Cricetulus griseus: one gene and its partners. The protein of the gene in region 3 purifies or fractionates together with the protein of the main gene of each other region. This does not show direct contact. Links are inferred from orthologs where the notes say so. Each region holds a gene or a part of one and is shown on either strand. Other genes may lie near its edges.

Evidence for each region.
Region 1: the proteins of Nolc1 (region 3) and Tcof1 purify together in Homo sapiens (affinity purification with western blotting; 4 studies listed by BioGRID and IntAct, with this or other methods). This does not show direct contact. The link is inferred for Cricetulus griseus from reciprocal best matches to the Homo sapiens genes NOLC1 and TCOF1.
Region 2: the proteins of Nolc1 (region 3) and Nop58 fractionate together in Homo sapiens (co-fractionation; 3 studies listed by BioGRID, with this or other methods). This does not show direct contact. The link is inferred for Cricetulus griseus from reciprocal best matches to the Homo sapiens genes NOLC1 and NOP58.
Region 4: the proteins of Nolc1 (region 3) and Csnk2a2 purify together in Homo sapiens (affinity purification with mass spectrometry; 5 studies listed by BioGRID and IntAct, with this or other methods). This does not show direct contact. The link is inferred for Cricetulus griseus from reciprocal best matches to the Homo sapiens genes NOLC1 and CSNK2A2.
Region 5: the proteins of Nolc1 (region 3) and Arrb1 purify together in Homo sapiens (affinity purification with mass spectrometry; 4 studies listed by BioGRID and IntAct, counting the BioPlex papers as one, with this or other methods). This does not show direct contact. The link is inferred for Cricetulus griseus from reciprocal best matches to the Homo sapiens genes NOLC1 and ARRB1.
Region 6: the proteins of Nolc1 (region 3) and Nop56 purify together in Homo sapiens (affinity purification with mass spectrometry; 6 studies listed by BioGRID and IntAct, with this or other methods). This does not show direct contact. The link is inferred for Cricetulus griseus from reciprocal best matches to the Homo sapiens genes NOLC1 and NOP56.

Annotation. Positions count from the first base shown.
Region 1 is NC_048595.1:178,248,605-178,252,674, reverse strand, and holds the start of Tcof1 (treacle protein), read right to left. Parts: upstream 2,801-4,070; 5' UTR 2,717-2,800; coding exon 2,609-2,716; intron 720-2,608; coding exon 664-719; intron 1-663.
Region 2 is NC_048595.1:413,956,978-413,960,477, reverse strand, and holds part of Nop58 (nucleolar protein 58), read right to left. Parts: intron 1,558-3,500; coding exon 1,436-1,557; intron 460-1,435; coding exon 323-459; intron 1-322. UniProt on the Homo sapiens protein: Required for the biogenesis of box C/D snoRNAs such as U3, U8 and U14 snoRNAs. Part of the small subunit (SSU) processome, first precursor of the small eukaryotic ribosomal subunit.
Region 3 is NC_048596.1:15,493,971-15,497,902, forward strand, and holds the start of Nolc1 (nucleolar and coiled-body phosphoprotein 1), read right to left. Parts: upstream 2,801-3,932; 5' UTR 2,730-2,800; coding exon 2,610-2,729; intron 455-2,609; coding exon 399-454; intron 286-398; coding exon 143-285; intron 35-142; coding exon 1-34. UniProt on the Homo sapiens protein: Nucleolar protein that acts as a regulator of RNA polymerase I by connecting RNA polymerase I with enzymes responsible for ribosomal processing and modification.
Region 4 is NC_048596.1:171,640,315-171,643,814, forward strand, and holds part of Csnk2a2 (casein kinase II subunit alpha'), read right to left. Parts: intron 3,464-3,500; coding exon 3,363-3,463; intron 2,066-3,362; coding exon 1,917-2,065; intron 1-1,916.
Region 5 is NC_048596.1:99,980,193-99,984,410, forward strand, and holds the start of Arrb1 (beta-arrestin-1), read right to left. Parts: upstream 2,801-4,218; 5' UTR 2,579-2,800; coding exon 2,523-2,578; intron 1-2,522. UniProt on the Homo sapiens protein: Functions in regulating agonist-mediated G-protein coupled receptor (GPCR) signaling by mediating both receptor desensitization and resensitization processes.
Region 6 is NC_048599.1:48,334,196-48,338,355, forward strand, and holds the start of Nop56 (nucleolar protein 56), read right to left. Parts: upstream 2,801-4,160; 5' UTR 2,678-2,800; coding exon 2,675-2,677; intron 2,516-2,674; coding exon 2,426-2,515; intron 2,105-2,425; coding exon 1,990-2,104; intron 1,839-1,989; exon of another isoform or gene 1,768-1,838; intron 1,691-1,767; coding exon 1,529-1,690; intron 1,355-1,528; coding exon 1,156-1,354; intron 1,033-1,155; exon of another isoform or gene 899-1,032; intron 825-898; coding exon 637-824; intron 554-636; coding exon 402-553; intron 230-401; coding exon 129-229; intron 67-128; exon of another isoform or gene 1-66. UniProt on the Homo sapiens protein: Involved in the early to middle stages of 60S ribosomal subunit biogenesis. Required for the biogenesis of box C/D snoRNAs such U3, U8 and U14 snoRNAs. Part of the small subunit (SSU) processome, first precursor of the small eukaryotic ribosomal subunit.

The DNA of each region.
Region 1 (4,070 bases), on a different chromosome or scaffold from region 3:
AAAGCCAAAAACCAAACAATCCAAAACAAAAAAAAAGGAAACCATCTGTTCCAATTCTTTTCTGTGACAGGATCTCACTATGTAGACCAGGTTGGCCTTGAACCTAGAGATCCTCTTGCCTCTGCCTTGAGATTAAAGGTCAGTGCCACCACAAGCTTTTTTTTCTTTGGGGGGGGGGGTCGAGACAGAGTTTCTCTGTGGCTTTGGAGGCTGTCCTGGAACTAGCTCTTGTAGACCAGGCTGGTCTCAAACTCAAAGAGATCCATCTGCCTCTGCCTCCCGAGTGCTAGGATTAAAGATGTGGGCTGCTACCACCACCTGGCTCAAGCTTTTATTCTTAAGAGATCCATCTTTCACTGGGTGTGGTCGGACACTCCTTTAGTGCCAGAACTGGAGGCCAGCTTGGTCTACAGAGTGAGATCCTGTCTCAAAAACAAAACAGCAACAACAAAAACAGATGGGCTCCAACTCAGAATGTCTCCCCCTGTGATAAGCTACACACAGAGATTACCCATATATATGATATAACCTGCCTTTTGAAGGTGACAAGTGTCCACAGTGGGCTATTGGATCATATCTTAGACCACATTAGTATATTACCTTGTGGCAAAGATGATCAGTTATGGTAACCCTGTTCTATCCCTTCCATTCCACCAGACTTACTGTTGCCAGTGTGTATAGATGTCCAGAAGGGTGGTGGGCTGAGTCAGGAAACTCTTCTGTAGAGAAATAATAATAGAAAGCTCCAATAAGTACGCAGTCTACTCTGTAGACCAGGCTGTCCTTTAACTCAGAGATCTGCCTGCCTCTGCCTCCTGAGTGTTGGGATTACAAATCAAAGGCATGCACCATCACTGCCTGGCTGGTTCAAGGGTTTCAGTTAAAACAGAGGAAAACAGGTACCAGGCCTAGGCCGAGGATACACTGTGTAGAAATCAAGACTGAACAGCCAAGTGCTCTAATGAGTCAAAAGAGACACACGTAGAGGGGAAAAAAAAAAAAAAAAAAAAAAAAAAAAAACCAAGCCAGCACCCAAACAGATTGGCCTAGAGTCTGGAAGAGCTCCTACTCACTGGATAACTCATCTCTTATCTCTGCAAACTCCAGGATACTTCTTTACAGCTCAGTAAACATAAGATGGAAAGGGCTGCTGTCAGTCTGAAGGGCCCTATCTAGTCAATTTGATTCTGCGCTAACTCAGGCATAGTGTCATAATAAATAAGTTGGACCACCAGTTCCTAACAGGGCTTTGTCATTCCTGTTACTGTTCTCCTTCTTGCCAACCACACAGCTCAACTCTCCACTTCTTCCTAGTCTCTACTCCAATGTCATCTTCGCCATAAGACTTCTCTGACCACCTTAGCTGTAACTGGAGTCTGACATTCCATATCTTCCTTGCTTCCCCTCACTGTGGCCAGCACCTGCCACAATCTAGACAGGCTAATCTACAAGCTTATTTTTATGTATCTGCTCTGTGAGAAGAGGTACTCTTGCTTGGGCACACAAACCATGATGATGGGCACTATGTCCTGCTTCCCCTATCTGTTAGGGCATCAAGGTCCAGGAAGGTCAGGAAAACCACATATAACATCCTAAAGCCCAGCAGCCTTCGGTTTTGAGTTCGTTTGTTTCTGAGACAAGTTCTCACAACTTAGCCCTGGGCTGGCCTTGAATCCATTATGCAGACTAGGCTAGCCGTGAGTTCACAACATATCCACCAGTTATTATATATCTCACCAGTGATTACCACTGCTCTTCTGGGAAGATTACCCATGGATCATTCCAGCCTCCATCTCTTTGGGAGACTCCATAGTCATGGATTTCAAACTTCAGGTACAGCAAACTTTCTGGAGGCTAGAACACTCAGAAGCTCCATTCCAACTTCAGGGCATCAGCACCTATAACTACCCATCTCCCTTGAGCTCTCCAAACCAACTACTACACCCTCAGAGAAGCAGTCCTGGGTATTCCCCACCCAGATTCTGCCAGCCATGTTTTAACATCTCAAATCTCCCATTCTACAGCTTAATACAATGTTAACCGTACAGAACACTTGTGATACTTTTGTGAGATGAGCAGGGAGGCCTGAGACTGGCGGTCCCCATTTCGTCATCTGCACCCCAGGGTCAAACTAAAAGTTGCCAAGTGGAAGAATTACTGCACCATGAGTTTGAGTCTTGTTATAACCGAAGACAGTCAAGGGCCTGCACGCCCTGCATTCCAGATCATCAACTAAGGGGGCCTTCCTCTCCGTGTTCCAAACAAGGATGATGACAATCCACCCCGAGACCAGCGACTAGCAGGGTGCCCTAGGAAAACTGCATAGAGCCACGTGGCCTGAAACTAGGGAAACTTAAACCTGCGGCTACCGGGAACCGGGGCGGGAATTACAAAGCTGCATGCCTCGGATCAGAGGTTCCGGCCCGCCCACTGCACCGACGAGGAAACTGAACCCCGGGAGGCGGCTGGAAGTCGCAGGGGTTAGAGTAGACCTTAATGCTCCTCCTGCACCCCTGGTCCCGCATCTCGGACCCGCGCTGGCCGGGTCTCCAGGGAGGGGCGCGGGCTACTGCTCTCTAGGTCTTGCACTTGGCCCTCCGACGCTTACCTGGCCGCTCTGTTCCTTCACTTCCCTCGCCGCGCGGACGTAGCCAGCCTGCAGCAGGTGATGGTAGATGAGGGGAAGCAGCTCCCGCCGCTTCCTGGCCTCGGCCATGCCAGAGATCCGGCCAGCCTATTCACGTGCACGCCCCCTAGCCCCCCGCCAGCCTCTTCCCTCGTGCCCTAGGACCTCATGCTCCTCACTTCCGGCTTTGCGTCACCTAGCCGTGTGGCGCACTGGGAAATGTAGTCTTGCAGCTGGAGTGGGCCATACCGTCCGAGAGGGCGGAGCCACGAAGGCTAATCATCTCTGCCATTGGTTTGGAGGCGTGGCCTGATTTCGACCCGCCCTCGGGACGGCCATGATGGAAAGGGCTCCTTCATCTTAATTCTGGTTTACTTTTTTTTTTTTTTTTTTTTTTTTTTTTGGTTTTTCGAGACACGGTCTCTCTCTGTAACAGTCCTAGTTGTTCCCTAGCTGTCCTGGAACTCACTTTGTCGGTCAGACTGGCCTCGAATTCACTGAGATCCGCCTGCCTCTGCCTCCCAAGTGCTGGGATTAAAGGCGTGTGCCACCACTGCCCTTGAAGGGCTTTATTGACCTGGTCTTAACGATAGGGCATCTTTATTCATCTTCGAACTTTCTGATCACTGGCCCCAGCTTCCAATTACTCATTATTTCATACAGTATTTAGGTCCAGGCATCAGTTGTCATTAGTGTGTTGAATCACTACATAAATCCTTACCCAAACCCTATATGTTAGGTTAGCACCCAGCTAGGCTGAGGACATGTAACGAGAAACAAAACAAGCAGTTGACTTCAAAGATCACCCAGGCTGGAGATACAGTTGACAATTACAGTTCAAGAGAAGGCAGAGCCCATGGAAGCATGGAGGAGGGGCACCTAACCCAAAGAGACTTACATACATTTAGATTCAAAGACAGGAGACCGCCTCCCACACCTCAGGTAAGGTTTCTTTGGGTAGTCCTTGCTGTCTTGGAACTCGATCTGTAGACCAGGCTGTCATCGAAACCGCAGAGATTTCCCCTGCCTCTGCCTTCTGTGTGCTGAGATTACAGGCTTGCATCACCACCGCCCAGCAACAGCAGAAACGGAAACTTTTGAGCACCGAAGAGAGGACAGGCTGGAGGTACTGCACGAGTCAGAATGTGTGAATCAACTTGTTGTTTAGTAAGGGAACCCCAAACTCTGTACTGCTAGGCTGGAGAGTTGTGAAAAAGAGAGTCCAGAATACTGGAAGCAAGCTTATAGTACCTTTTTCCCAACAGAGTTCTGACATGCTGCAAAGAGAATATAAAACCAGGGGCTGGCAGTGGACCATGCCTTTAATCCTAGCACTCAGGAGGCAGATCTGGCCAGCCTGGTCTACAGAGCAAGTTCCAGGACAGCCAGGTTTACACAGAGAAACCCTGCTACAAACAAATAAACAAAGAACTCCAATGTGGGC
Region 2 (3,500 bases), on a different chromosome or scaffold from region 3:
ACAGGCAATAGGGGCTAGAGAGATGCCTCAGAGGTTAAGAGCACTGGCTGGTTTTCCAGGGGTCCTAGAAGTTCCATTCCCAGCACCTACATGGTGGCTCACAACCACCTTCTTCTGGCCTGCAGGGATACATGTGAGCAGAACAATATATACACAATAAATAAATCTTAAAAAGCTAGGTTCTGTGGGTTTACATCACTTACCAGCTATACTGAAGGTGAGCAATAGCAACATCTTCATATTAAATAAATACTGGTATCATTTTAAGTATAGTACACTTAAATCTATGTATAAAAGTGAGCATTCTTTCTCTAAGTCTTACCTGTGGGCCAATCCAAGACACATGGCTGCCATCTCACGTGGTTCTACCCCAGGAATCAAGCCATCCATTTGTGATCGAATTCCTCTCATAAGTTCATTAACAACAGGACTATGGATACAGCTGAGATTCAACTTTTCCTATAAGAACAAGATGAAAAATAGTTTTCCTGAAAAACCATCTTTTGGTTTTCAGATAGTGACTCACTAATATAGCATAGACTGATTTCAAACTCAGAGGAGCAATCCTGCCTCAGCCTCCTGGAACGACCAGCATGTGCCACCACAGTGAGTTGTGAAATAATTTGATCTAATAGTATTGATTGGTTGGAAAGATGGATGCTCTTGGAGAGGACCTGAGTTCAATTTGCCACACCCACACAGTGGTTCGAAGCTACTGTAACTCCTGTCCCAGAGGATCTCATGTTCTTTTTCTGACCTCCACAGGGACCAGGCAACAGACATAACCAAGGACAAAATACTCATACAATAACAATAAAGATGTTGAATTAAAAAAAAAAAAAACCACAAAACTGTATTTAAAACTTAGCAATGAGTCAGGCATTGGTGGCTCACGCCTTTAATCCCAGCACTGGAAGGCAGAGGCAGTTTGAGCCAGCCTGATCTCCAGAGCGAGTGCCAGGATAGGCTCCAAAGCTACACAGAGAAACCCTGTCTCAAAAAAACCAACCAACCAACCAACCAACAAAACAAACAAAAAACAACAAAAAAACTTAACAATGTTCCTGTGTCATATCTGTCCACTTCCCCTCTATTCAGTAACTCCTTGATACAGACCACCTCCATTTCTATATTATACTGTACAAGTTATTACAGGCTTACGCCACCATAATTCACTTAATGGTTTCCCTCTTGTACTTTTACACCAGCCACTGAAAACTTCCAATGTGATAAAAAGTTATGTGACGGTTGTCATACCATGTTAATAGACTCTATGAGTAACAGAGTTAGCGTTTATTTTATCCCTTTTTTGTTTATCTTTATTTTCTACTGGAGCTTATTATGCTGCCTAAAAGAAAAAGACTGATTATGAAAACTCATGACAACCTAGTACAGAGGGCAGGCTCTGCAGGCACAGAAACCATGGCTCCTTTACCTTTATCACCCCTCCTAGTTTAGCGTCAGCCACAGCCAGAGGTTCATGGGCTTCTTTTACTATTTTCTTCAGAACTTTCTTCAGCTGCTTATTGATTTTGCCCTCCATCAGAGCTGTAAATGCTTTTCAGGAAAACAGAAAAATATGTATTATAACTAAGAGAGCTCTTCTCATGTAAATTTTAAAGCAAATACTTGCTTTTAAAAGGTCCAAGTGTTTCTTTTAAAATGAAAATGACCCATGTTGGTGTATGCCTTTAATCCTAGCACTTGGGAGACAGAGGCAGGTGGATGCCTAAGTTTCAGGCCAGCCTGGTCTACAAAGTAGATGCCAGAACAGCCAGGGCTGTTACACAGAGAAACCCTGTCTTGAAAAACCACAAACACCAATGTATAAATTTTATAAAACCCATTCATAAATTCCAGGCATGGTGGAATATACTTTGATCCCAGCATTTCAGAGGCAGAAGCAGGAGGATTGGAGTTAAGCTTATGGTTCTCCTTTAGCCTTCCAAGTGCTGTGATCTAGGAGTATTCTATTATACCTGGCTATTTCATTCCACCTTCTAATGCTGTATACACTGCTTCCAACAGACTTCTTCCTTTCATTCTTTTTACTTATATTTTTAGGCTTTTGGAGCTGGGGATGGAATACTTGCTTAGCACATGAAAAGCCTTGGGCCTGATCCTCAGCAACACATACTTGAATAATTTAAAGTTGAACTTGATGTTTCTAGTTTAAATGTTGTTGCTTTTTTACATACATTATTTTGCCTACATGTATACCTGTGCACTACCTGCATGTCTAGTAACTGTAGAGTCCAGAAGACAGCACCAGATTCCCTGCAATTGGGATTACGAACACCTGTAAACTGCCATGTGAGTGATGGGCTCCTCTGGAAGAGCTGAGTTCTCTGGAAAAGCAGCCACTCCCCAGCCCATCTCTAGTTTATGATCCATAAGACCCAAGTTACTTAACCTAGCACAAAAGCCCTTCTCTTAAATATGTATTTTTCTAAATACAAAATCCCTATACTAGACTAACTTTAGATTCTATTCCAGATTATCATCTGGAAATAGTTATCATTTCATCAAAAACAATCTCATATATTTTAAGAAATAACTTCAAAAGCTGGGTGTGGTGCTGTGACTTTAATCACGGCACTCAGAAGGAAGATGTCAATCTCTCGAGTTTGAGGCCAGCCTGGTCTACACAGAAATCCTGTTTTCGGTGAAGGGACAAAGAAATAGCTTCTGGGGGTTGGAGAGATGACTCAGTGATGAAGAGCACAGGCTGCTCTTCAAGAGGACCTGAGTCCATTTCCCAGCAAACACATGGCAGCTCACAACCCAATATAACGTAACCCCATGGGATCCAATGCCCTTTCTTTTGGTGTGCAGACAAAACATCTATTTACATGCAATAATTTTTTTTCTGGTTTTTGAGACAGTTTCTCTGTATTGTTTTGGAGCCTGTCCTGGAACTCACTCTGTAGACCAGGCTGGCCTCGAACTCAGAGATCTGCCTGCCTGCATCTCCCTCCCGAGAATAAAGGTGTGCACTACAAATGCCTGGCACAATAAATAAATAAATAAATAAATAGATAGATAGATAGATAGATAGATAAATAGAAGTAACTTCTAACAAAAATGGGGCCAGTGGGCCAAGGCCAAGGCTTTTGCCACCAAGCTGGGCATCTAAGTTTGACTCCCTAGACCTATTGTGGTGACGAGAACTCTCACTAGTTGCCCAATGTTAGAGGAATAAATAGCTCTATTAAATACCATGAACTTCTGATACATTAATATTAGTACCACAGCCCATGAGACTCTAAAGCTACATTTAAATTGTTTAACACTGATCTACAGTGTTAAACAATCTACTTAGCTTTGACCAAACTGTTTTATAGACCAGAGAGAGATGGTTCAGTAGGTAAAATGCTTGCCATTCAACCCTACAAAACTAAATCAAGTTCCTGGATTCCAGGTAAAGATAAAAGGAGAGAAATGATGTCACAAAATTGTTCTCTCATGTTCATGTATGTATCCTGGCATGTATACCTGCT
Region 3 (3,932 bases):
TGCTGAGGCAAACTGGTTCGCTTAGCAGGTACAGCTGAATAGAAAGATAGATAGGGACCCACAAGAATCACCATGCTGTCCAGGCAGGAGTCAGATGCCCTTCCTGGAACACCACACAACCACAGACCCCACACTGCCTTACCAGCCTTCTTTGCCGGAAGTCCTGGGGCTTTTTCCTCTTCCTCACTGCTATCCTCACTGCTGTCACTGGAGGAAGTCTCCTTCTTTGCCTTCTTGGTCACTGGTCCATTTGACTGTAACTTCCGCTTCGGGGCTTTGGTGGACCTGGTGATGTAGGTTAGGCTGACTTCTGAGGGATGGGGACCTTCTCAAAACAAGGAACATAGCCCCGCCCACCTAGGGGGAGAAACAGCCCAAGTGTAACAAGGAAAGCTTACTTGAGCCAGAAGCTATAGATGTCCAACAGGGAAGAGGCATTGGCATCCTGCTGCGTCTGCAAGAAAGAGGCTGAGTTGAAGAAATGTTATGACCTCTAGGTCAGATTCTATGTTACTCTTTCATCAAATATAATCTGTCAGCGACTAGTGATCCCAGAACCTAGAAGACAGAGTTAGGTGGATCTGTGAGTTCAAGGCCCACCTAGCCTAAACACGAGTTATACAACAGTCAGGGCTATGTAGAAGCCGTCTCAAAAGAGAAAAAAGAAAAAAGTTATCTCTTACTTACCTACTCAATTTGAAATGGATGTTAGATCTTTGTAAGTTTTCCTACTTGTGTAAGTCAGTAGAAAAATATTCTACTTATATATTGCCTAACTTCGAGCATAAAAAAGGGCAACCTCTGATACTATTTAGCTATTCCTAAGCCTTTCCAACCATATTTTTCAAAGCCTTAGAAAGACTTCAGCAATGAAAATACAATAAAGAATATTAATTGAGGGGCTAGAGAGATGGCTAAGTGGTTAAGAAAACATATTACTCTTCCAGATGACCTGAGTTCATTTCCCTGCACCCACTAGGAGACTCACCTGTTAACTCCAGATACAGTTTCTGACACCTCTGGTCTCTGCAGGCACCTGCACTCATGTCCACCATTGCAGACTTAATAAATTGACTTTTTAAAAGGCACTAGGTGTGGTGGCACATGCCTTTAATCCCAGCACTCAGGAGGCACAGGAGTCTGATCTCCCTAAATTCAAGGACAGCCTGGTCTACAAAGCGAGTTCCAGGACAGCCAGAGTTGCTACACAAAGAAGCCCCATCATGAGAGGGAGAGAAAGAGAAAAAGAGGGGGGGGGGGAGAAAGAGAAACTAAGAGGGTGTGGAGAAGACAAACAAAACACCAAGACCAAGTGTGCAGCCTTTAATACCAACACTGGGGAGTCCGAGGCAGGAGCATACCTGTGAGACCAGTCTAGTCTGCATGTAAGTTCCAGGCTAGCCAGGGTTACAAATGAGACATTATCTCAAAATTAAAAACAAGACAAAGGTAACCTAAGTTTTTAGTCATGGTTTCATCCTTGGAAAAAGACCACAGGTCTAGTCTTTGAAGGTGTTTCCAGGAACAATAGAACTCTCCTTGAGATGTAGACTCTAGACATTTCAAATTCCTCCATTTTATCTTGCTCTTAAGGTGGGTTCAAATTGACGAGACAGCTGTCACTCATCCCATGTTTCCTATCTATTTACAATGGGATTATTACTTTGTGTATCTTCTCTTTGTCAATCTCATGCACCCAAATTCTGTAAATTAGGCAGGGCACAGTGGCGCACACTTTTAATCCCAGCACCCGGGAGGCAGAAGCAGATGGTATGAGTTTGAGAACAGCCTGGTCTACAGAGTTCCAGAATAGCCAGGTTACACAGAGAAAACCTTGTCTTGAAAACAAAACAAAACAAATTATGTAAATTAAATGACATCCTGCTATGCTCAGGGATGTTAATACACGCCTGTATCTCAGCATTAGGAAGATGAGCAAGAGGAACAGAAGTTCAAAGCCATCCGCTACTACACAAGGGCTACATAAAGACCCTGTCTCAAACAAAAGACGGCTGCCGGGGTCATATATGTAGAAAAGTCGCAGAACCTGGCCATAGCCTATGTTTCTTTTATTTCACTACCCAGAGCTCCAGTGAAAACTGGCAGGCCAGGATGCTCACTCCTCCTACAGTATACTGAAAGCAGCCTCCCCCTATATTCATTCATTTTTTTCTTTTGTAAAAATTAAATAAAACCCTAGCCCTCATTGCTAACAATTTATCTTCAGAGGCTCAGGCTAAATTGCGAGCAAGGGTAAGGCCAACAAAAAAGTACACCATATGAACCAGGCACCGCCAATCCACAGCTACCTGTGGGACCCAGCGCTTGCCTCTCATCGTATGTTGTCAGCCACATGACCCGGGCGGGCCACGCGGGACCCATGCCTGCCGCCGCTGCAAAACTCATCAAGTAAAAGCAGTAAGAGTCCCAGTCAGACGTGGTGGGAGGCGGCGGTGCGGCCTCAAGCTCTCATCGGTGGCCAGAAAGGCCTGGCGGACCTTGGGCTGACAGACCCCAGACCTGTCCTCCTGACTCCTAAGCGTGTCGTCAAGGCCTCGGCTCTGGGCGAGCCGTCCCACCCCGGGCCGCGGACCAAACCCAGCACTCACGGCGCCTGTCGCTTTTGCAAACTTGTTGGCCACCTCCGAGAGTTGGTTATCACGCAGAAAGCCGAGCACGAGGGGATAAAGGTCGCTTGGAACCACGCGGCGCAAGCCGGTATCCGCCATGCTCCCGGTAAAACGCGTCACTACCGTCGCGCACGCTGCACGACTTCAGGACTCCGAAGCACGCTCAGGGCAGGGGGCGGGCCCAGTGTCGTCATCACGTCGCGCGGCGCGCAGCGAAAGCGTGGGGCTCCGCCTCGGAGGCAGGATGTAGGCGACGTCCATCAGCTCCTTCCGGTCTCACGTGCTTCGCCATCCTGCTAAGGGCGGAGCCCGCGGGCCGCCCCTTACGAGGGCGGAGCCTCCGCGTCAGAGATCATGCGCCGGTCTTTGGCGGGAAAACTTGCGACTTCCCGCGCGTTATCTTTGCTGTAATTTTTTTTTTAAAACAGTAGTTTTCCCATCCCCGGCTGATAGACCGACCCCACAATAATGAATGCATTGCAGTTCTCCAGTCTCCTTCACCTTTCTAGGTGTCACCGACTGCTCACATTCCCACTGACCATGGCCTCTCTTCACCTTCACTCCCTGTGACACCACAGCCCCAGGCTCAAATCATAAGAGGATCCTTAAAAGTTGCTTATTGTGGTGACAATGGTGTTAATACATCAAACTGCCTTTCAATCATACTTAGGTTACAAGACAATTATACCTTCCCTAAGAGAAAGGGATCTTGTATGAAACTCGAATCAAACGGCAATACACTCTATTAGTGCTAAAAATAACTCTCCCTAAGTCAGAGTCACACTGAATTGTCACAACTCTATGCAGCGTTTTTAGGTTACATTAGTCATCCCTCAGGAAGCAATAAAGATCCATTTCCTGTGGACACCCTTCTTTTACTTCCCTCAAAACAGGCATGCCTTTCTTTCTCCTTCAGAGAACTGTTATCTCCCTCTATCCTGTATATGCATTAAAAAAAAAGAAACCCGAAGGGCAAGGTCACACCCACCTTTAATCCTCGACACTATAGAGGCAGAGGCAGGTAGATTACTATGAGTTCAAGGCCAGCCTGGTCTACAGAGGGAGTTCCAAACAAAATGTTTCCAACACAAGCACTGTGACCAAGCTAAACTGGTGCTTCAGTGAAACTTAACTAACACAAGCTCCAATTTAGAAAACCTTTGTTTTCAAGAGTTTCTCATATGTGACAAATGCCTTTAAACCCAGGGCTGGGGAGACAAAGGCAGGATCTCTGCATTTGAGGCCAGCTTGGTTTAACAGAGAAACCCTGTCTTAGACCACTTCTCCCTAGATTTTAAATAC
Region 4 (3,500 bases), about 160 Mb from region 3:
ACTGTTCAAAATTCACAATATTTCTGGTGATTTCTGAGTACCAACATCATACCTAGCATGTCATAAACAAGGGTGAATAAAAAAGCCATTGACAACTGGGAGGTGGTGGCGCAGGCCTTTAGTTCCAGCACTTGGGAGGCAGAGGCAGGCGGATCTACAAGAACTAGTTTCAGGACAGCCTCCGAAGCCATAGAGAAACCCTGTCTGGGACACGCCCCCCCCCCAAGAAAAAAGAAAACAAACAAACAAAACCCCAGCCATTTTAAGCAGCAGTGAAATATGGAGTTTATTTAGGGAAGTAAACAAACAATGATTATCTAAAATATCTATCAGGTTGTTTTTATTATTATTCCTGAGGCAGGGCCTAACTATATACCTTAGATGGTCTTAAATTTGCAATCCTTACACATTTGCCTCATGAGTTTACACCAGTACTGCTTTTTATTTTGGTTTTGTTTGTTTGCTAGCTTGCTTGCTTGTTTTTTGAGACAGGGTTTCTCTGTGTAGCCTAGGCTATCATGGAACTCACTCTGTAGTTCAGGCTGGACAATTTGAACTCAGGGATCCACTTGCCTCTGCCTTCCCAATCCTGGAATTAAAGGTATGCATCACCACCGCCTGGCTATTTTGTTTGTTTGTTTGTTGTTGTTGTTGTTTTTAAGATACAGTCTTACTATGTATCCCAAGCTGGCCTTAGACTCACAAAGATCTGACTAACTTTGCCTCTGAGTACTTGGTTTAAAGGAGTGGACCACCACTCAGGGCAACACCAATATCCTAAAGTGGCCTATCTTGAAGGATAAAAGCAGCTTTCTGTGTTGGAAATTAGAAAGCAAACAATGGAATGTCAGCTGTTTAGGGTCCAGAAGGCTAAATGAGAAGACCCTTTACATTTTTTTGTTGCCTTAAACTTCTGCCTAAAGTTTAAGATCATGGCAATAAGTCCTTCCTATCTGTTAATATTACTGGGAATTAGTAAACTCCAAAGGAAAAAGTGGTCAAACAACAGACAAAAACTTTAAGGAACAGAAATGAAGATAAGTCACATTCAACTTCTTCCATGACTAGACTAAGCCACCCTCTTCTGTCAATGACAAGGGTGATGTGTCTAGGAGACTTTCAGTGGGAAGAACACTACATGGACCCAAAACACAAGCAAGTGCAGAAGGAACACATATGCTCCGAGAGATGTCACAGGTCAGAATCCAGCTGCCATACCTGCTACCTGCTTACCTGCAATTCCTCTTGCTTACATGTTGCTTCCTTTAGAATCACATTAAAAAAGCAATGATCTTACTACTTTGTTTTGTTTTTCAAGACAGGGTTTCTCTGTGTAGCCCTGGCTGTCCCGGAACTCACTCTGTAGACCAGTCTGGCCTCAAAATCACAGAGATCTGCCTGCCTCTGCCTCCTGAGTGCTGGGATTAAAGGTGTGTGCTGCCACCACCACCCGACCTGATCTTACTACTTTTAACTAAATATTATTATTATTATTATTATTATTATTATTATTATTAATTGGTTCAAATTAGAAACAAGCTTGTTTCATATGTCAATCCCTTCTCCCTTTCCCTCACCCCCATCCCTCCTCCTCCACCCCCCCTAAATTTTTTTTAAAAGAGAAAAAATAATCTTTGATTAGGTTTTTGCACTTGAAAAAAAAATCTTAGATACCTTTCAGTATACAAGCCCAGGGTGATGACAGTGGGTTATACAGCCTGGCCTCAGAGGTACTACTAACATTGAACAGCAAACACCTTCGAGAACTAATCAAATCACCCATAAAATGGCCTCAGTGGTCCAGTAAAATGAATAAAATTTAAAGCCAAATTCCTAGGCTGATCTAAATCCAAATACCTAGTTTTCTGTCTGACCCCAAAGATAAAGGTGACATCTTTTGCCATTTAATAACTCACAGAAGTACGGGTGCTCCATGGCCTCTTTGGCAGTCAGTCTCTGTTGATGGTCGTACCGCAGGAGCTTGTCAAGAAGATCTAGGGCCTCAGGACTGACAAGGTGTCTGTTTTCACTATGGATAAAGTTTTCCCAGCGCTTCCGTGAATGTCTAAAAAACAAAAACAAACAAAGTGAATATTAGTATTCTGAGACTAAACAACCAGATAAACCCTCCTTTAATAGACATAACATAAACAAACCCTTAGAATACTGCACTTCGTGCAACAGCTGAAGCTCATTCTTATCGGTGCCCACTTCAAATGGGCTAGTATACACACACTGTCACCCACAGTTATAACCATGACATAAAACTGCTCAATTATTAGATGAGCAGAATCTATTGAAAATATCTATATCTGAGGGAGAATTGTTCAATCTTTCTGGATTACTCTTATGCCTGTCTTTTAATCAACCGTGAGTAAGGCCTGGCGGTGACTAAGTGATGCACTGGTCAGTAGATATATTTAGAAGGTTGGCTTTAGAAACAAGCAATTTCATAAAATAATGCCTGAAGACCACTAGCCAAACATTTACTTTTAACACACTGCACTGAGGCTGGACATGGTGGCACACACCTATAATTGAGCACTCAGGTTGAGGCCAGGAGGCTACACAGCAAACAAATAAGACCATCCCCACCCCAAAATACCTAAGTCACGAAACTAGGTACTGTACCTGAAAATTTAGCATGCCTTAATATTTATTATAAAACTTCAGAAAATAAGCTATTCACTTATTTGAAGAAGCCTCGTTTTCTAAGATTTGCCATCAAAATAAGCATATGCAGGGCTAGGGAGATGGCTCAGTAGTTAAGAGCACTGGCTGCTTTCCCAGTGAACCCAGGTTCAGTTCCCAGCACCCACATGGTAGCTATTAACTATCTGTAACTCTACTTCCAGAGGACCCCTTTTCTGGCTAAGCATACACACACAGTACATTATGTGCACACAGGTAAAACAGGCTTACATATAAAACAAGAAGAAATAATTTCTTTTGAAAAAGCACAAGCTTTGACCAAATAAACATTTTTTCTATAACATTATGACTTTATTTTCCATTTGCTTCCACAGGATCAAACTCTTGATTCTCCTGCTGCAGCCTCCCAAGTGTTGTGATTAGAAACATGCATATCTACACAAGGCTTATTTTCCATTTTCTACTGATAAATAGGAGTCGTACCATTTGGGAGGCCAAGGCAGGTAGATCCCGGTGAGTTCAAAACTAGCCCTGATCTACATAGCCACTGAGACCCTGGTTCATTCAATAAATAAGTAAATAAATATCAATATTGAAGTTAGAAAAGGGAAACTGGATGTTGTCTAACTTTACCACTTCTGAAGTAGAGCAAAGTGCTTCCTTCTTTCCTTTCTCCTTCTCTCCCTCCCTCCCTCTCCTTTCTTACTTACTGTCCCAAGATATCATTGAAGTGTGGATCTAGGTCTATGTGGTACTTCTTCAGATATCCATACAGCTCATCTGTCCCCAGAACCTTGGCAATTCGAACAAGCTGAAACACAGAACAAAACTGACCCAACCACCAAGCA
Region 5 (4,218 bases), about 84 Mb from region 3:
AGAGCAGGACAGCTTCCTTCCTTCCACCTCTCCTCCTAGGATGAATGTTAGCTGCCTGCAGCCCTCCTTCAATCCTTCAGAGTGGGCTGAGGGAGACTCACAAGCCCACCCAGCTCGAGTAAAGGAAAATCCTTCAGTGCCTGCTAAGTCCCAGTGATCTGACCTGGCCTCTTTCCCTCCCTATGTCACCTCCTGCCACCCTCCCTTAGTCTCCAGCCTCACTGCTCTCCAGCCCCTCTGTTCCTCGTTCCTTATCCACCAGGTGATTGCTGCACAAGGCCTTTGCTCCCAGTTTCCCCTACCCTACTCTCTTACCCTGGACACTCTTCCCAAATGCCCACTTTCCCAATCCCACTACCCCTGTCAGCCAGTCCTTCTCTTGATTCACTCTTCCTTTCTTCCCAGCAACCCCCTGACCATATACTTTACTTCTTGCCCCACCTGTCTGCTCTGCTGGCATGCCCGCTCCAAATATGCCCACTGTCTCTCCTGTCCACGGGTACATCCCAAACACACACAAAGGCACACGTCACTATTGTTCAAGAAATACTTGTTAAATGATTGAGGGTGGCAAGAGTACAATATAAACTAGTTGAACAGATAAATGAATGAATTTCATTGCTTCACTGAGGGACAGAGGCACAGGAATGTGGGGGCAGATGCCTATGCTCGAATAGCAGAGCACTGGGCCTGAGATTAGATGGTAATGTAGTCCCTAAATCCTGAAGAGTGCCACTTGCCTTTCATGGCAACCTTTCCCCTTCTAGAGCTGTGTCTGGGAACCCGAGTCTCCCTCGCCTAAGTACCTTTATCCAGCCCACAATTTCTCAGCCATTACTGGGGAGAGGCAGAAGAAAAGTGAAAGCTAGAGAGATGGGGATGAGGAAAGGTATTGAAAGGAGGGGAGGTGTGAAGAGAGAAGAGAGAGACAGAGGTAGAGGTATGAAAATAAAAGATGAACAAGAGACAGGAGGAGAAGAAAACCAGGGAAAGAATCAGAAAGCCTGAAGCAGGGAGAGATGGGACAGACCCAGAAAGGTGAAACCCCTAGGCAGCCTCAGCAGGGTGTGCCCCAATCCTTCCCAGAAGCTGATCTGCAGGCATCCAGGCCTGTGACTGTGTGGGGTCTCCACAGCCATGGCCCTGCCTCACCCTCCCTTCTGGGACCTAGGGAATATTGACAGGTCTGAGTATTGCTTGCAAAGGAGAGCGTGGCCCAGCCTCTCCCCAAACATTCCCCTAGGGGCCCTGGGAGCCTTGTCTTCTCATTAATATTTATCAGTGTTGGGAGTGTGAAGAAGCCACAACTGGCCAGGGTGTGATAATTGTTAAAGTAAGGGGAAAAAAATGCAGACCACTCCATCTGAACCAGCAACTCCAAGCTAGAAGCTAGGAGCTCCATGTTTCTCCAGGAAACCAGAGAAGTGAAAACCCTGTGGCTTCCAAGTCACAATTACCTCCAGCCCTTGGTAGCCTGTGCTCTAAGGAAAAGGAAAGATCTCACACCCAGGCAGGATAAACAACTGAGAGAGAAAGCCACTCTAGTGGCTGCCGGGAAGGACGAGGCACACGTGGGGCCAGGAGGAGCAATATTCACCAAGCAGCGGAGAGAGGCAAAGGGGAGGGGAATTAAAGCTCTGCCGAGCAGCTCATTATTTCTCATAGTAGAAAGGATAGTCTAACTCCCACTCCACAGATAATTAACTGGAGGCTCCAAGCGATGCATTAACTTGCCCAGGAGCACAGCAAGCAAGGGGCTAGGTCGGGACCCAGACTCACTTCTGACTGGGCCTCCAGAGATTGGTGCCTTAATCCAACCCACTGTTTCCTAAATCCATGTTTCAAAACGGCAGGAAGAACAGACAAGAGGGGAGGGAGAGAGGGATAAATGAAAGGTGACTGGGGTGAGGGGCAGAGTGGGGCTGAAGAGGGGCAGGAAGCACAGCCATCAGTGGGGAATGTCCTGCCACTACCTTAGTCAGCACCCGAGGCCACCTCCTTCAGGAAGCCAGGACTCTTGTGGCTTCCTCAAACAACAAGAGCAGCTGCCTCATTCTCTGTCTGTTTATTATTCCCCACTCATGCCTTTAAGTACTTTTCCCAGGACAAGGCTCTTCCTGGACAATCCCATTTCAAAGATGGAGACATTGAGGCTCGAAGAGGCACCCACGAGACTCAACCACTCCATCACATAGCCAAGCACCACCACTCAAAACTCCACTCACTTCTTGCCCCAACACTGTCAGAAAAGAGGCTCTATGGGGTATTTTCCGTTTCCACAACCCCACGTGTGCAACACCGCATAGACCTCTCTGCCCGTGGCCTAACCTAAGCCCACAATCCCAGCCAGCCTTGCTGAGCAGCTGCGTCTGTTCACCCCCAGCCTTGCCTGTGCCCCACAACCTGAGCCTTAGTCACAGCTGGGTTCCCCAAAGAGAAAGACCAGCAGTGTCCTTCCTGGTTAAGGTTCAGGATAGCTCGAGAAAGAAGAGGAGGTCCTAATAAGGAGGCCAAAATCTCACGGGAAGGATGAGCAGGCAGGATGCGCTGGGGCCGGAGCTGAGAATGGGGACGCCATCGGAGCCTCAAGCCGTAGCTCCCTGTCTCCACCGCTCCTTCTGGGGCTGCTGCAGGGCCTCCTGGCTGCGAGGCTGTCTGTGCGGCTGCTCCATTGTCTCTGTGGACCAGCGCGCCCCGCTTACTCAGGGATTTTTCTGCTCCTCCATCCTTTGGGCTCGCATGTGACTCACACTCCAACCCTGTTTCTACCCTGCCTCTCACTCAGCTTCCCGCTGCTAACTGACTGAATGGCCCAATTCCAAATTCCCAGGAGAGGAATCTGATTGGTCAGCTTTGATTAGGTACCCCACCCCCTGGCCCAATCACCTGTGTCCAGGACATAGCCTGTGGTCCATGAAGCATGAGCAGAAGAGGCTCTGGAGATTAGTATTGTCCAAACCAGAGGTTGCAAGTCACTGGTTGATTAGGAAACCTACTTAAAACATTACAGGTCGGAGAGCTGGCTCAGTGGATAAATCGCCTGCTTCACAAGCATGAGGACTTGAGTTCAGATGCCCAGTACCCATGTAAAAGCTATATGTGGCAGGCTGCACCTGTAACCTCAGCACTGGGAAGGCAAAGATAGGCAGATCCCGGGGGCTTCTGTGGCCACACAGTCTGGCCTACATAAAGAGCTCTGGGTTCACAGAAAGCTCCATGTTTAGTGATGGGCCCTGTTTCAAAAAATTAGGTGAAGAATGATAGTGGAAGACATCCATAGTTGACCTCTAGCCTCTACGCACACATACACATACAGTACGTACATACACAGAGATCCTTTTTTTTGAGGCAGGGTCCTGGAACTCAAATACAAACAAGCTGGCTTCAGACTCACAGTGATTCTCCTGCCTCTGCCTCTCAGGTGCTGGGATTAAAGACATGCGCTCCTATGCCTGATTATATTTTGAGGTTGGTTGTTTGTTTTCAAGACAGGGTCTCACAAATGTAGCTCTAGCTATCCTGAAACACACTATGTAGACCAAGCTAGCCTCAAACTCAGAGATCCTCCTGCCTCAGCCTCATAAGTGCCACTACACCTGGCTTTATTTTTTGATTTTTAATGAAATGGGATGGACTAGACTATAGAAACAAGTGCTACAGGCAACAAAGATGTACTAGATACTCCCTACAGGCACCAGGATTCCCTGAGGCTGGATGTATGGGATGCCAGGCATCTTCCTTCCTGTGGAGTTGGACGCCCCCCTGTGGCTTATTCTGACCAATGAAATGCGGGTGCAAATGTCACATGCCACTTTCAGCCAGAGGCACAGAAGGAACCATCCATGGGTCCCCAAACCCTTCAAGCTCATTTTCTGTGGCTGCTATTTACAAAGTCCCACGAATTCAGTGGCTTCAAACAACACAAACTTAACTAGAGTTCTGTGCTTCAGAAATTCAAGTGGGCTTCCTTGAGCTAAAATCAAGGTGTCAGCAGCCCTTGATTACTTCTGGGGGGTTCTAGGGCAAATCTGCTTCCTACTCTCTCTGGCTTCTGGAAGCCTCCTCCTTCCTCCATCTTCAAAGTCAATGAGAGAAGGTGGCCTTCTCATTATATACGGCATCACTCAGATCTGCCCTCCCTTTCCTTTTGAAAACCATTGAGATGACACAGGGACCATCTGGGTAATCCAGAATGATCTCTCTGTTTTAAGGTCATCG
Region 6 (4,160 bases), on a different chromosome or scaffold from region 3:
TGGCCATCACCCCCATAGCAGAGGCCTGTATAGGTCAGGGAGTCCTGGTCAGCCATCACTGTAATCCCCAAACAAAGCAGCGGGCACCAGAAGTAGCACCTGACATGGGCAGGCACCCTCACTGGTACCTGAACAGGGCCTTTTCAGCCCCAAGGATCTGTACTGTGGATGCTGGGTACTTGGCCAGGTTGGTGAGGCTGCCAGCATGAGCAATGAGACGTGCACCTACCTGGAGAAAGATCCAAGGAAGAAGCCAGGTGAGTAGGGGGGAACTTGACTTATCAGTTTCACCCCTATTTTCCTCCCCACCATGCAACAACTAGGGACAACATGGTAGCCAGAAGTATAGCGGTACAGTATGCTAACATTTTTACTCCCCCATTTGTAGTCCCATAACGCACCGCTTCCCCAATTAAGGCTGACAGGCTGGGGGCTACTTGGCTCATCTTGGAGCGAAGGTAAGTGTGTAGGCTCTGGCGATACTCTGACAAAGACACCACACGACTGGAGAAGCTCTCGATGTTTATCAAGTCGATAGCAGATATGTCCATGCCTAGGAAACACCTAGTGTGAACAGGGGGACCAAATACTCAAGGAGTCTCGTACCTTATGCAGGTTGCCAGGCTCTGCACTGACCCATGGAGGACCGAGAGGCATCCAAAATGGCCTTAGCCTTGGCCCCATCCATAGTCAACTCTTCCAGCTTCTCCAGCTTTTCCTCATTCAATTCCCTGCGGTTTCCAATGAATTGAGCCAGGCGACAGTAGGTGGCATTGTCATTGATGATCTTCACCAGCTCTGGAAAGTGGTACCCATACCACTCCCTGCAGAGTTACAATCATTCCCTTACCCAGTTTGCCAAACCTCAAATAAACCAGATCCCAAGTCTCCCTCAAATCCATGTCTCCCCATTCACAATTCAGACCAGGCACAATGGCCTAGGCTGAGGTGTACATGGGGTAGGTTTACTCTGCCTCCTCTTTCTATACAGTCAGTGTTAAGAACACAGCCTGTGGTAAGCACAAGGAGGCCTGGCTTTAGCCCATGATTATACCCGCAGGAATTGTCAACCCTGCTTGACCCTTGTTAAGTTTATAATAGCTAAACCACAGGCCAAAGAGCCCAGTGTTTGGTAGCCCATGCACTGCATCTTACCTGACACGCATTGAGAAGGTATTGATATCTTTATCCAGTTGGTCCAGAAGGCTTATGGACTGGATGATCATGTTGTCCACCCGGTTCACATTAAATTTCACTTTGGCCCGAGAATAGCTGTGTCCCAACCCTAGCTGGGCTTTACACGCAGACAGGTCTGTTAGACCCTTCACCAGATTATGGAAGTGCAGACGAACTCCTAAAAGGCGGGACTATGAATAAAACACGTGGCCACGGAATAGCCAAGATAACCATCTACCTCTTGTCTCCCTCTTCTGGCCTCTGTGGGCACTGCACTTACATGGTGCACGCAGTAAGTGCAAGCACTAACACATAAAATCTTAGCAGCTTCGGAACAGGAGGACTATCTTACCTCGAAGGATCTCAGCTATCACACCTCCAGTCTGGCAGTTGTACCCCAACTCCTCTTGTATTGCAGCACCAATCTTGGGGTCTCCAACCCCCAGCAATACTTTCTTTTTTTTAGACGGCAGGTATGTCTCCAGGAGCAGACGGAGGTCCTCATGAACAACACCTTGGGACAAAGAACACTTTACCTGTAAGACTCCACCTCCACATCGGATCACGAAAGAACACCCACCCCTCCAGGCATTGCTCAGAAACATGGAGACATCAGTGATCACACTCAGTGGATTGACAGATTTTTCAAGTCATCAGTGCAAAGCCTGGCTTCACCACGGTGGCACAACTGTGAAGCAGTGAGCTCCTACTGTCATCTTGTAGGTCCCAATACCTAGCATGCATCACGTGCTCAGCAAAATCATCTTAGAACACCGTCGCTTAGAATCACTCGTCGCTGAGCGACTAACTCACCTTCAGACACGGCATTGGCATTTTCCAAGGCAACCTGGGATGAAGAAAACGGACAGAAGGCGACCAGACGAACGACATTGTGGAATTTGCCAAGGTTAAGTACACACTCCTCCACCTGTGGAGAGGAGGAATGAATGGGCTTTCTTTGAATTTGGCCTCCACAGCGCAGTAAACCAGGAACCAGCTGTAATATTCATGGGAACACTGGTGCCTAAGCTCCACATCCCGATTCTACTTTAATTCTCAAGATTTGAGGTGTTTATCTCCACTCTCTAAGGAGATTATACAGATACGCATTAATTAAAAATCTCGTTCCTGAGCTTTCACCCCCCCCTCTGCCGGTGCGGTCGGCCACGTGGGAACACGCGGTGCATGATGGGGTTCGGCGGCCTTAGGGGCTGCATTGCAGCACCCCGAGCCCACCGATCCCACCCACCTGCGGTAGCAGCAGGCTGATTTCCTCCACTTCCTTCAGGGCCAACAGCGCGTAGCCGACCGCATGCTCGAACAGCACGTGCAGCACAACCTGAAACGGGAACCGGCGCGCGGCCATCAGTCAAGCTACCGAGTCCCGCCGGCCGCTCTTAGAGCAGGTCCTGGCCCATACTCCGAACCCGAATCCGAACGCACACCCAGACCCGCACCGAGGCCTTCTCGTCACTAATAACCCACAACCACTCCTCACCATGGCGCCTGCTCCGTGCCCAGCTCGCAATGCGGCTAGCGCGCTCTGGCGCGCGGAACTAGACTGCGGAGACCACGCCCTCCCCTCCTTGGCCAATCAGAGGCTGAGGACGGAACCATTTTCATGTCTTCGGAGGGGTTCGCGGGTGTGGTATCGTCCGCCGGGCGCGCTAGACTGCAGCGGGCGCGAGCGGGCCGGCCCATCCGAGCCTCTGCGGCTGCGCGAGCCGGTGCGGAGACCGGGGCAAATGGCGTCCGTTCTAGCCTGAGGCTGCATAGTGCTCTGGAGACCGCCCTTGTCCGTCTCTCGTGCTTTTGTCACCGTGGGCCGAGCGGCAGAACTCGGTGAGGGGACGAGACACTCCATGACGAGCGTCGCAGGCTTTCCGCTGGCCCGAGGCCTCTGGTGACAGTCCGGGTCCTTGCCTGCCGCCTGCGACTCCGCCTCAGACGCTGCAAAAATGGCGGCTCCTCGCCGCCTGCCTCTTCCTCGTAAATTTTATTGCTCAGAAAGTACTGGTGCGAGCAGTAGCGTGCATAGGAAGGGTGGTTTAGGTCTGTTCCTTGCCCTGTTTCACAGCTCTGCGCCAGCTCTGCGCGGAGCCACGTGTTTGTCATCGCCCGTTAGGCCCTTATCTATCAAGGAGCAGCTTCCTGCTCTCCAGGGCTGCTTTTAGGCACACCGAAGTGGCTAGTTTAAAATTACTTTTTCTTTAAAGAAAGAAAAAACCTTTTTTAAGTAATGTTAGAGTTACAAGTCCCAAACGTAGTTATATTTTAGATACTCCGTGCCTTAATGGGTTAATAACAATGCCAAGATTTCCTCCCTTCCATTCACTCTTTATTTTCTTTCGACCTCGCATTTCCTCACCCTTATCTCCCGTCGCTCTTCCTTTCTCTCTCCCCGCTTCCTTTCTTTTCCCTTCCTCCTTCCCTCTTTATCTCTTTCTTTCCAGGGCTGTCTTTCAATTGGCTCTGTAGCAGAGAATGACCTTTGAACTTCTGATCCTCTTGCCTCCCAGCCCTGTGCCATCTATAGAGAATCCATTGCAGACCCTCTGCTTACTCTTCTACAACGCCTAGGGGGATTTTGGAAATTCTATCAGAAAGCACATTTATAAGTTAGGTCTGTTTTGTTTTCTTAACTCAGTGACTTCACAAAATTCAAGCACAGGGGCTGTAAACATGGCTCTTCCAGTAGGTCCAGTGTCTCCACAGACACAGGAGGATTAGGTCTTGTCATTTCTGGTCCTTAGCCCTTTGCATGCTTGTTGACTTCGTCGAATAAGAAATGGGCTGATGAGTCCCATGGAGAGGTAGAAGCCCTGAAACTATATGGAAATGGACAGAGGCCCAGCCCTCCAACTCTCATTGCCAAAATAGACTTGTGTCCTACCCCTTGCCACTGACTTCAGCTGCATGGAACCCTAGAAGTGACCAGAAGGGCCATGTATGTGTACCCTGCGGGTGAAAGCCCAAGCTTTGTG